3 linked regions of the Oryzias latipes genome follow. The protein of the gene in region 3 purifies or fractionates together with the protein of the main gene of each other region. This does not show direct contact. Links are inferred from orthologs where the notes say so. Each region holds a gene or a part of one and is shown on either strand. Other genes may lie near its edges. The genes, in order: stx18, srpra and srprb.

Region 1 (3,753 bases), on a different chromosome or scaffold from region 3:
GCAGAGCTTTTATTAAACCGCCGTATTTAATGCCGCTACAAAAGTACACGACCAAAACGTGGCTGGTGCAGATCTTCTCATGTCGTCTTCAGGCTGATGGTTGGTGACATTTAAGATTTTACTCCCCCGTGGGAAATGTGAAAGTGGTTCTTCAAGGTTTTATTTGAAGACATCTGCTTAAGTCAGATAAATAACTGCTGGGGCAGAGCAAAGGCCGTGTTGCCCTGTGAAAAACGGGTGCACACTGATGTCTTCTAAACTCTTCACCAAAAACTAGTCTTTATCGGAATATTAATCTATAGCTGGAAATTTGGAGAAAAGTTTATGTTCAGCATGCTGTCAACTTCCTCCGCCTTCTGTGTTCTTTACTGACCTACACCAAGTCTAGAACATCCAGAATTTGGATTCAAAGACCCATAACTCTGAAGATGGTTATCACACCGAACGCAATTATAATGGGGGCGACATACAATGTTAAGCCAATGTACAGACTTGATCTGAGGTCCGGCAGCGTGATTGTAGCGTCAGGCGCAGCGAGGCAGACCGGCAGCAGTGCGTTTTGAGTGTCGCAGCACGATTTGGGTGTTGTGGCGCATCCAGAGTAAAAAAAAAAATCTGACTTTTGGCGAGGTTGAGGTGTCACTTCACCCATTTGATGTGTTAAGGGGTGGAGTAAAAATCCACTGTGGAGGATCGGTCCAAGCGGCCTTGTCCTGATCTACCATCCATTTGCTTATCACGCTACATCGCTTTTGGGGCTGCAGGGTTGCCAGAGCACATTCTGGTTATTGTTGGGCTAAGGTGAGGCACACCCTGGACAGGTTGCCAGTCTGTTGCAGGGCCCATGGGGCTGAAGTGACCCCACCCACTGCACCGACCCCCAGGAGGCTGACGGGGGGGCAGATGAGAGAGCAGCCGCAGCTGCTCAGGCCTTCTGAAATTTATGATATTTTATTTATTTGCTTTAAGAAAATAATAGCGCTCTTGCCTCACAGCAAGAAGTCCTGGTTCAAGTCCCGGCTGGGGGACCAGAAACAGAACACCAATGGGGGACCTTTCTGTGTAGAGTTTGCATGTTCTCCCCGTGCATGTGTGGGTTTTCTCCGGGGACTCTGGCTTCCTCCCGCCATCTAAAAACATGCTTAATTGGTCCCTCCAAATTGTCCATAGGTGTGAACGTGCGTGTGCATGGGTGAGTGGTTGAGGCCCTGTGACAGACTGGCGACCTGTCCAGGGTGTCCTCTGCCTTCGGCCGCAAGACGCCGGGATAGGCTCTGGCAGCCCCGTGACCCCGAAAGGGATCAAACAGATTAGAAGATGAATGAATGCATTGAGAAAATAATTTTTAATAAATTCCGTCTCAGATTTTTTCGTAAGGGAAAGTCAAAATTAGCTCTTTTTTATGACTCTTTTAAAGCTGAAGTAGACAAGCTTGATATTCAACGATGTCGACTGTTAACTGTCCACATGGGAAAAGCAGCAGACATGCAGGTAGCGAAAGGGAGAAGATTCTTCTTCTTCTTCTGCGTATTTACTGTTGTCTACCACCTGTAATAGGAAGAGGCTCAGTGTGCAAAGTGAAAGCTGTGAAAATCCCGCAAATCTTGCTCCAGACGTTTTGTTTTCACAGCTTTGTTCCTGTAAATGTCCGTCTTGGAGTCCGAACACAAACCGCAAATATTATTGTCTCCTTCGAAATCATGTTTACAACGGTTGGTACTTCCGTGGCGGACGCCACCCTCATGTCACTACTAAATCCGAGTCTCAGATTGGTTGCAGGACTGCGATTAAGTGTAAAATTGTTTAACCAGTTGAATTTCCAGTAGTGAGCATGGTGACCGAATTGCTTTGAAAATTCAGGTCACTATATAGTTTTGCAGTAGTTAGGGGTTAGGGTGGGAATTCGGACACAAACACTGTGTTGGTGCGTTCATTGCAGGAAATTATTTTATTGTTGCAGGTGTTAATGATTTCAAGCTCCCATAAGGAAACAAATGTAAACATTTATTTGTTATTTGAATGCAACAAAATGACTAATCGTCCTCTGAAACATTAGATTTTCCACTTTTATCAATCATCATAACAGGCATACAGGTACACAGATATGTATTTAAAATTAATTACATGTATATAATTGATGAAGATTTCAAATTAATATTATTTTATATGAAATCTGTATCTTAGCTATAGTATTTTTTACAGGGTAGTTAGTCTGTTAATAACATCAATCAATCGCTCAAGATTTTTTTTTCAACTACGTTCATCTAAAAAACGTGTAGTCTTTTAGGGAAAAACTAGTGCTACATTCATTAATGCTCACATTTCCAGTAATTGCACAGCAAAGTCTGTAGATTAAAAAAAATTAGGTCAAGTTTATGTTTTTTATGAGGTATTAATTTAAAAGCAGCAACTTTTTTAAAATTAAACAGTTGGGGTACTAAACGACTTAAAAACAGCCAACAATGGTTGTACTTATACGTTTTTAAAAGAAAAAGTAGTGGTGTGTACATTTGTCATATAAAAGGCAATGTTTGTAGAGAAGTTTTATCGTTTCAAATGAGCTAGCATCATCATCATCATCATCATGCTATCGCTAGCTAAGAGGAGCACTCACCACTTCTTTCGCTCTCTGGGTGAAGCCGCTCTTCGTTCTGCTTCTTTTGAAAATCTCATCTTTCGTCGAGTCGAACCCGATCCCTATCGCCTTGTTTCTGGTCTTCACTGTCTTCACGCTGGCTTTAAAAAGCAGAGTGATGTCCACAGCCATTTCTGTGCACGCGCCGCTGTCAACAAGGCGACACGTCATCGACCGGTGACGTCATCAACATGAGACGCCGCAGCGGATTTTTCCCTCAAAGGGGAAAAAGGAAAAGCCTTAAACAGGTTTGCACCGATTAGGATTTGATTTCCCATTAAATCAACACGGAACTTAACCAAAACTCAACATTTGACTGTTTCACTTTGAATTAGGTTGTATATAATGGAAAAACAATAACAGAAAAGGACTAATCTGAAATTATAGGGTTTTAGAAGCGTTAAGGGGAATATCATTTTGAGAAAAATCTAAGGGTTTTCATGAGTTTCTATTTTGTTTAATACGTTCTATTAATGGTTGTTTTATGTGTTTTCCTCGCAGACAAATGCCTCCACAGCCAGTGAAGGGCTCCACCAGCAGAAAGAGAAGACCCAACTGGACTGACCCGGAATGCCTTCTTCTGGCTCAGTTAATACAGAAAAAGCAGAACATAGTCAGAGGAAAGCAAAGCACCGGAGTATCGGTTCAAGACAAGAGGCATGCCTGGAAGGAGATAGTCCAAGCTATTAATGATGCTTTTCCACAGGTCCAGCGCACAGTTTCCGACTGCAACAAAAAGTGGGAAAACCTCCTTGCGAAGGCAAGGGAGGAGATAAAACGACAGAGTAACAAAGGTCAGGAAACATGCATTTTCTTTTTTAAGTTTAGTAACATTGTGCATTTCTGACTAATAGCAAACTTTTGTTTTTTTAATGTTGCAGAAGAAGAGATGTTATTTGAGAAACTTAGTGCCGTGACACAGATAGTTATTTCTGTGTTGAACATCTCGGAGAAGAAGATGCAGGAACAGAAGAAACTTCGTGACGCAGATCCAGCGGAAAATCCAGAAAACAGGCAACACTTTTTCCCCCCCCTATTTCTTTAAGGATGAAAATCATGTTTGTGCGAGTTTTTTACATGTTCTTGTGGTATTTTTTTCATGATGGAGGACATACAGT
Region 2 (3,663 bases), about 15 Mb from region 3:
GGAGGCTGGTGGAAATGAGGGGGGGGTTGTGTCATCACCTGGGTTTTTCAGTAGGTCCTGCTGTGTGTTTGCGGATGAATTCCTCCCTCTTCTTCTGTATGATCTCCTCCGGTGTCAAACCCTGGTTCCCGTTCTGAACCGCCTTTTGGGCCGGGGGGGAAGGTTTCTCCACTTTGGCTGGCTCGGGGGCAGGAGCTGGATTCAAAAGAGAGAAAAAAGGGTGTGTTAGAAGAAAAGAAAGAAGAAAAAAGCCAGTACTATGAAGTGAAACTTACGCTCTTTTTTGGAACTTTTACTCTTCTTGCCGCCCTGCTCCTTGCCTTTGTCTCCACCTTTCGTCTCAATCATGGACTTCACAGTTTTTTTGGATTTCTCAGACTCCTGAAAGGCCCGCATGTAGGTGGTGCTCCGAGTCCTGCTGGTCTCCTCCGCCTCCCTTGTGGTGAAGAGTTGAGGAAAGTTCAGTAGAAGATCCCAGCGGGATCCATCCTTCTGAGCTTTTATTGAGACAGGACGGTTTTAAAATGCTCCTTGAATTGCAACAATGGCTGCCGAAGGAAAAGTAAGTTTGACCGGAGGATTCCTGTTCTAAACGCTACAGGCTGATGGAAATGTTGCCTCGTGTAAAGAAGTGCAAAAGGAGATATTGGGGCATCTGTGATCATTATGTTAAAGTATATCATAAAAAGATTCCTCCAAGACTCAAACTAGTTAATCAGAGCAGATTCTTTGAGATAAAAGCTCCCCTTTCTACATACATTTGAGATTACATCTACTCTGTGGTGCGTTTGACTTTAAAATATTTTCCTGGACTCCGGTGTTTTGGAAACATAATGGATGAAAGGGAAGTGGCACAGGGAAAAGAAAGATGTGAGCATTTGTGGACTTTTCTGTGGAAGCAACACAACAGCTGGTAGATACGATGACGCCATTCTGAAACAAGTTGAACATGAAATGTGAAAAGATGGACAACAAAGACACAAAATGTGCACTGTTGTCTTTAAAAAAAAAAGAAAAAAAGATTGGAAATTAAAAATGTGGTAAGTTCGGGTTTCTTTCTATTCCAACGTGCTTTTTAGAGCAGAAAAGTTACTTCCATCACTCCAGTCCAATGCGTGGAAACACTATGAGTTCAACAAAGTCATGTGACCATACGGGATGTAGGCGGTCGTGGTGCAGCGGTAGGGGCGGACAACGGGTTCGATTCCCGCCTTGCCCACATGTGTCGTAGACAAGTAAACGCCATTTACAATTTAGAATGTTCTACTAATGCTCCCTTTGGATTCTTTGGATGTGGAAAAACAACAGTGGGCGGAACTTTAGGAAACTAAAACGTGAACGGATTGGACATTTATTCTTGGTCCTGTTCTATGTCCACGCCGGTAGGGCGGTCGACCCATGATCAGCCGCCACCAGTGTGTGAATGTGTGAGTGACTATAAAGCACTTTGGGCCTTGTAGGTAAAACAGCGCTATAAAAGTACACGCCATTTACCATTTGTTTACTTGTCTGTTTGTACGCATATTTAATTTACAATTGATTATCATAAGAAATCCAAGGAATATGGAAAACTTCCCTTTTACTCTTCAGTAGCAGGTATTTCTCTCTGAGTCACACTGGATGAAGATAAAGATGTTCTAGATCCTTTTTAGGTCAGTGAATCGCATCATTCAAAATGAACCATAATCGACTATTATTCGGATCAACAACCACAAATTATGATGACTTGAATCGTTATTGAACTGAGTCTTTACAGCCCTCCTGAGAACTACAGTTCCACCAGCGACAAAAACCAACTTATAGCTGGTTTAAATCTACAAGTGGACGTGTGGAACATTAATATCCATCCCTGTGCAGTTTCTTATTCATCCAGGTCACGTGATTGCAGGATTTCTGAGAATCTGCGGCGAACATCCGCCAAGTATCAGCCAGGGAATGAAACAGCTGAACTTGACCCACCAGACATTTATCTTTACCTTAAAATCCTCTGGAAGTCGTCCTCAAACTCAAAGCTGTTGTTGAGAAGCATCAGAGCTCCCTTCTGCACCAGCTCATTCTTGTAGCGATCCCGAAAACGAAGCTGAACATCATCTATAAACTTGTCCACATAAGTCAGCGTGAGGATATTTTGAAAACCCACCTGGAGAGAGAAAATAAACACAGATTGTTGGTTCATTCATGACTGTACAACACCTGCGTTTGGCCGCATTTCTCAGCATGTTCCTGTTTGAATCCGATACTTACCACAAAGATCAACTCAAATTCATTGTCCAGCTTGTATTTCAGACTTTGCCTCTCATGAGTGAAGGAGTTGCTCCCACTTCGCTCCTTCAAACATCATGAAAACACGCGTCAACCACAACCGAACACGTTCAGTCACTCTGGCAGACAATACAACAACTCCAACAGTTTGGCAATCCGCCCTCACCCAAAATTAGTGGTTTTGTTTACTAGCGTTACGCAATAAGCTAGCTAGCGCTAGCCTAGCATTAGCTTTCAGAGACTAAATAAACCAAAATGAGTACCTCTGACGGGAATAACCTGACGGGCCACTCACCTGGAGGATCACCGAGCGGATCAACGCGTTGACCGGCCCCGTGAAAGACTCTTTGACCCCGGCACCCTGAAAACACCACAACACTATCCCCCCTTTGCTGAAGATGGTGAAGAAATCCAGCATCTTGACACCACGTTTCTGGATTAAAAACACACAGACAAGAGGAGACAACGTTTGAAAAACCCGCCGTAGATAACGGTTCCCGCACGCAGCTGCCCTAGAATACCGGTCAAAACTTACCAGATAAAATAAGAAAACGAATAATAAATATCCCACGACACCGCACCACACGCCGGTGCAATAACTGTTTTGGACACGTCAGGAGCTACAGCCGGAAGTGACGCCTTTTTCCTGCTCCCTCCTTCCTCCACCAAATCACGCGCCTGCGCAGATTGAATAACCACAAAAGTAAACGAGGGAGTGTGGAGAATAAATAAATCTGTGCCTCAAAGAACCACGCGTTTCTCTAGGGCCACTTGATGGCTAATGGGGATATTGAACAAACAAACAAGCACATACTTATATATGTGTAATACAACAGATTTTTTGTATTTATTGTGTATATACCATTACATTATTCTTCTAAATTTGAAAACCCAAAGCCTCCTTAACATTGCCTTTTAGGAATGTCTAAGCAAATATTTAAAGATTTTGTGTATATTTAATTTGTTTATGGGTGAAAATTTTTCAAACAATGATGGCACAATGTTTAGTTTAGTGTTTGAAACCAACATTTTTGTACTATTATTTTATTTGGATCCATGGTTTCACTGTTCTTAAAAGGAGCCAAATCAATAAAGCAACTTTGCATGTTTAGTACGGTACCCTTAAAGCAGGGAGCCCTTAAAGCAGGGGTGTCAAACATACGGCCCACGGGCTGTATCCGGCCCACCAGATGGCTCAATCCGTTGTAGGTACCATAACCGTTCTGCCTGGAACTTCCTTTCGGGTCCTTTCGCCTGAAGGTAACATCACACTACGGTAACCCCACTTGGACAAACTACGTAGCGTCGATATCTGCTCGGGCTTTACAAATTTTCATTTCACTTTCCCTTTTGTAACCTAAAGTTATTTTCCCTCATAAAAAGTGTGTGACAATATTCTTT
Region 3 (3,753 bases):
AGGCCACCTACTTTTATTGAAGCATCTGATTGGTCAGTTTATAATTTGAATAACTAGTGCTACAGCAAAAATATTAAACATTGTTTTAGGATTAGCAAAAACACGTTAATAAAGGGTAGCAGAGCAAGAATGGTTATTTTGATAAGTAATAGCTGTTAATTTCTCAATAGAAGTCTATAGGATTTCGGCTTTTTGGGACCAGCGGGTACTTTCTATTTGGAGCACAAGCAGCAACTCAGTCCAGTTCTCACATACAGTCAATGGCTTTTACGCAATAAAAAACAAAAAGGATGTTAAACCTTGTTTGTTGCACGCCACCAGGAGAGTTGGGGTGTTTCGGCAGATCACGCTATCGGTCAGCAGGACGTACAGAAACTCGGCTACGTCTCTGACTTCTTTCTGGAAAATGGCGCTGTCCACCACAAACACGATAGCTCTGAGGATAGAAAGGAGGAGTCATTCCAAGTGTCACCATGACGCAAATGCATGTGCTATGAATGCCCAAACTGTAATCATAGAGACAAAATCCCTTTTCTGATTTGGTTCAAAGGCACTTGAGCTGAGTTTCAAACAAGAACTTTACAGTAAAAGGGAAGAACACAAAATCTAAAAGCAGTGCTGGAACAGATCACATTTCTACGGGTTTCGGCTTCACTTCTATTAATTCACACAGATTTTGGAATTTCTGAACACACAAAGCATCAAAAAGATTAGCATCATTTTATCTTAAATACATCCCAGTTTCCATATATTCCAGACAGGAATCTTCATTCTAAATCAGCAAGATTAGAGGTTAATCTCAAAAGTTTCACAATTAGAATCGGTGGCAGAGCCTTAAGACATCATGTTAGTCCAAGAGTTTGGGAGGCAGACGCTGTGTTGAAAACGTACTCGGCCCTGTCTGCACTCTCATCTGCACGTATGTATGTTTAAGGCCCATTCCAATTATCTTCTGATCTATTGTAAACTTCTTCCTTGTGTTTTTTTTTTATTAGGATTATGCTGAAGGAGCAGCAGGAGTTACTTAGAAATTGTGGGCTGGGGCCATTGGCACAGAGTAAGCATGGCCTGACTTCCCATGATCCCTTTCTTTATACGCTCTCCCGCTATCTTAAAACACCAAGCTAACATTAGTGGTGCATCAAAAAAAATATATTTTTTCATCTGCTCCTGATTCACAACGATTTAAATAAAGAAATACTCAGAAATGTAGTTTAGTAGTTTTTTTTTTTAAATGTCCTCCATCAGGAGAAAAATAAATCTACAAGAACATGTTAAAACCCCAATTTTTATTGGAGTGGGTCTTTAATCAGTTGTGGTATATGGTCCCATCAACCAAATCTTCCGCTGGAGGTTTCTAACAATGTTTTGATTTAGAAGTTTTCCTCTCCATACTTGTTCATTTGCGTGCTCAGAAGGGGGGATTACATCAAAAAAATCCTTTAATCTCATAGCCACCTATTATCCTTCAATCTGTCCGAACTGTAATGATCTGGACTGAAGTGAATTATAAGAATAACGGCTTTTATAACTGTTTGTTTACCCTATTAAGTCAACCCTAAGTGTGTTTGACATGAAACAATCCAGCCATTGCGTTTAGCATCTCACCTGGCTGCTGACTTGAACTTCTCCAGGTACTGAGCCCGGAGACTGTCATGACCTGGCAGGTCTATCAGAGTCCAAGTTGTGCCCTGGAATCAGAAGACGACACAATCCGTTGAGAAACCAGCCCACATGGCTTGATATGTTGTTGTTTTGATGTCTTAACCTCACCTTATCACTTTTGGCTTTATAAGGGGCACTGCTGTCAGTGATGGAGGTCTGTGTTCGCTTGAACTTCCCTGATACTAGCTGTGAAAACAGAAAAGCCACCATCAAAACAGTCCCCTCAGGATCACAGCAGGAGCCAGCGGGTCAGAGGTCAAACCCACCCGACTGAACAGGAGGGTCTTCCCGGAGTCACACAGTCCGACCAGCAGCACGGCGCTCCGGACGGTTTTGCTGGTGAGGAAGTACTTCAGAAAAACTGAAGACAAAAAGCAGAGAGTTTTAATGTTTGTTAGTCTGCAAAGTTTGAATGGCTTCCTGTGAGGCGCAACAGACAGCTGCTAGCTTTAGCTTAGCAGCTAGCTTTCTCCATTTTCAATGCGGCTACAACCGTAAAAGCACAATTAAAATTGTTCATAAACACACATTTGAATGCTAGAACCTGACCCCGCGCAGAAACAAACCCCTCAAACTCCCAACAAACTACTTCCATTGAGCCACATGCCTGGCCTAGTAGCATGCTAAGCTAATCGGTTAACGGTAAGAGACTGACGCAAACTTTACCGCAGGTGATGATGATCGCCGCTAAGGCCACGACGACGCTGATCAGAAAAACTGGGTCTTGCTCTTCAACCTGTTTGCGGACATACTCGATGAATTGTTTAACTGTGTTTTCTAGCATCTTCGCGTCCTCTTTTCCTCCCATGTCTCCACCGACGCTGCGTTCCATCAGCCCCGGATCATCTGAAACGGGACACGTTTCCTTAGCCTGTGTTACGCAACGAACACCAGAGGGCGCTGCTCAGCAGCACTCAGGAAAACAGAAGAAAACTGGAGGTTTTTTAGATACACAATATTAAAGAATTTATTTATCATTTCCACCATAGACCTATGTATTTTTGGTTTGTTTGAACTAAATAAAATATTTATTTCCCCCCTAATTTATCAGCTGTTGATCATCCTTATTTGTTTTTATTGTGATTCTTTTTTGATGAGTTTATTTCATGAGTTGTGTTGTTGTTGCTTGTTTTTGTATACCTCCTAGGGAAATCGTTATCTTTTTTTTTACTTTATGGAATATATATGTTTTTTTATTTTATATATATATATATATATATATATATATATATATATATATATATATATATATATATATATATATATATATATATATATATATATATATATATGTGTGTGTGTGTGTGTGTGTGTGTGTGTGTGTGTGTGTGTGTGTGTGTGTGTGTGTGTGTGTGTGTATGTATGTCTTTTTAAACTCAAAATTCAATAAAAATCAACATGTGATTTTAGAAACACATGTTCCCTGTCAATACAATTGATTAAGGGCTTGTCCCTCAAACTTTGGTCCAATTAATCAAAATCATTTTTTGGATAACGAATTCTGATAGCATTTCACTTTAAATACAGCTTGATGCTGGTTTTCAGAAATTCCCCCATAAAGTAATAGAAACAAGATTAGATGGTTAAAAAAGGTCTTGGTTAAAAAAGGACCTTTTTTAACCATCTAATCTTGTTTCTATTACTTTATGGGGGAATTTCTGAAAACCAGCATCAAGCTGTATTTAAAGTGAAATGCTATCAGAATTCGTTATTGCATATAAACACATGGTTGTGAACACATTTTCAGTTTATTCTTATACCGAAGCAGTTCTTGTTTTTGCCCTTTCCAGTTTTTTCAAACCAAAAGTTTACAATGCCCTGTTTAAACTTTTGGTATGCTGCAAAACTTTAAAACAGTACTCTGGGGTTGTGTGCTTCCGCGGTATTGTTTGCGGTTTAAAAAAATGAAATGCATTAAACTTTTCGGAGCATGAACTGCTTCCTGACATGTTTTTCACATTATTTTATATAAAGACTGAACGTTTGTGGCTCTCAATGGAGACCAGATGCGCTTTTTACGCACTCCGTCTAACCCTGGCAGTCAGCGCGCTTTTTACGCACACGGGATATTTGACTCCTTGCTCTCGG

Evidence for each region.
Region 1: the proteins of srprb (region 3) and stx18 purify together in Homo sapiens (affinity purification with mass spectrometry; 3 studies listed by BioGRID and IntAct, counting the BioPlex papers as one, with this or other methods). This does not show direct contact. The link is inferred for Oryzias latipes from reciprocal best matches to the Homo sapiens genes SRPRB and STX18.
Region 2: the proteins of srprb (region 3) and srpra purify together in Homo sapiens (affinity purification with mass spectrometry; 6 studies listed by BioGRID and IntAct, counting the BioPlex papers as one, with this or other methods). This does not show direct contact. The link is inferred for Oryzias latipes from reciprocal best matches to the Homo sapiens genes SRPRB and SRPRA.

The regions. Positions count from the first base shown.
Region 1 is NC_019863.2:30,761,061-30,764,813, reverse strand, and holds the start of stx18 (syntaxin-18), read right to left. Parts: upstream 2,823-3,753; 5' UTR 2,807-2,822; coding exon 2,615-2,806; intron 1-2,614. Other genes in the region: uncharacterized protein LOC101155681, read left to right, coding at 3,141-3,429, 3,517-3,649. UniProt on the Homo sapiens protein: Syntaxin that may be involved in targeting and fusion of Golgi-derived retrograde transport vesicles with the ER.
Region 2 is NC_019871.2:28,761,699-28,765,361, forward strand, and holds the start of srpra (signal recognition particle receptor subunit alpha), read right to left. Parts: upstream 2,925-3,663; 5' UTR 2,798-2,924; intron 2,696-2,797; 5' UTR 2,681-2,695; coding exon 2,558-2,680; intron 2,329-2,557; coding exon 2,245-2,328; intron 2,141-2,244; coding exon 1,977-2,140; intron 437-1,976; coding exon 276-436; intron 196-275; coding exon 39-195; intron 1-38. UniProt on the Homo sapiens protein: Component of the signal recognition particle (SRP) complex receptor (SR). Ensures, in conjunction with the SRP complex, the correct targeting of the nascent secretory proteins to the endoplasmic reticulum membrane system.
Region 3 is NC_019871.2:13,914,259-13,918,011, reverse strand, and holds the start of srprb (signal recognition particle receptor subunit beta), read right to left. Parts: upstream 2,545-3,753; 5' UTR 2,498-2,544; coding exon 2,332-2,497; intron 2,027-2,331; coding exon 1,932-2,026; intron 1,852-1,931; coding exon 1,774-1,851; intron 1,692-1,773; coding exon 1,609-1,691; intron 437-1,608; coding exon 300-436; intron 1-299. UniProt on the Homo sapiens protein: Component of the signal recognition particle (SRP) complex receptor (SR). Ensures, in conjunction with the SRP complex, the correct targeting of the nascent secretory proteins to the endoplasmic reticulum membrane system.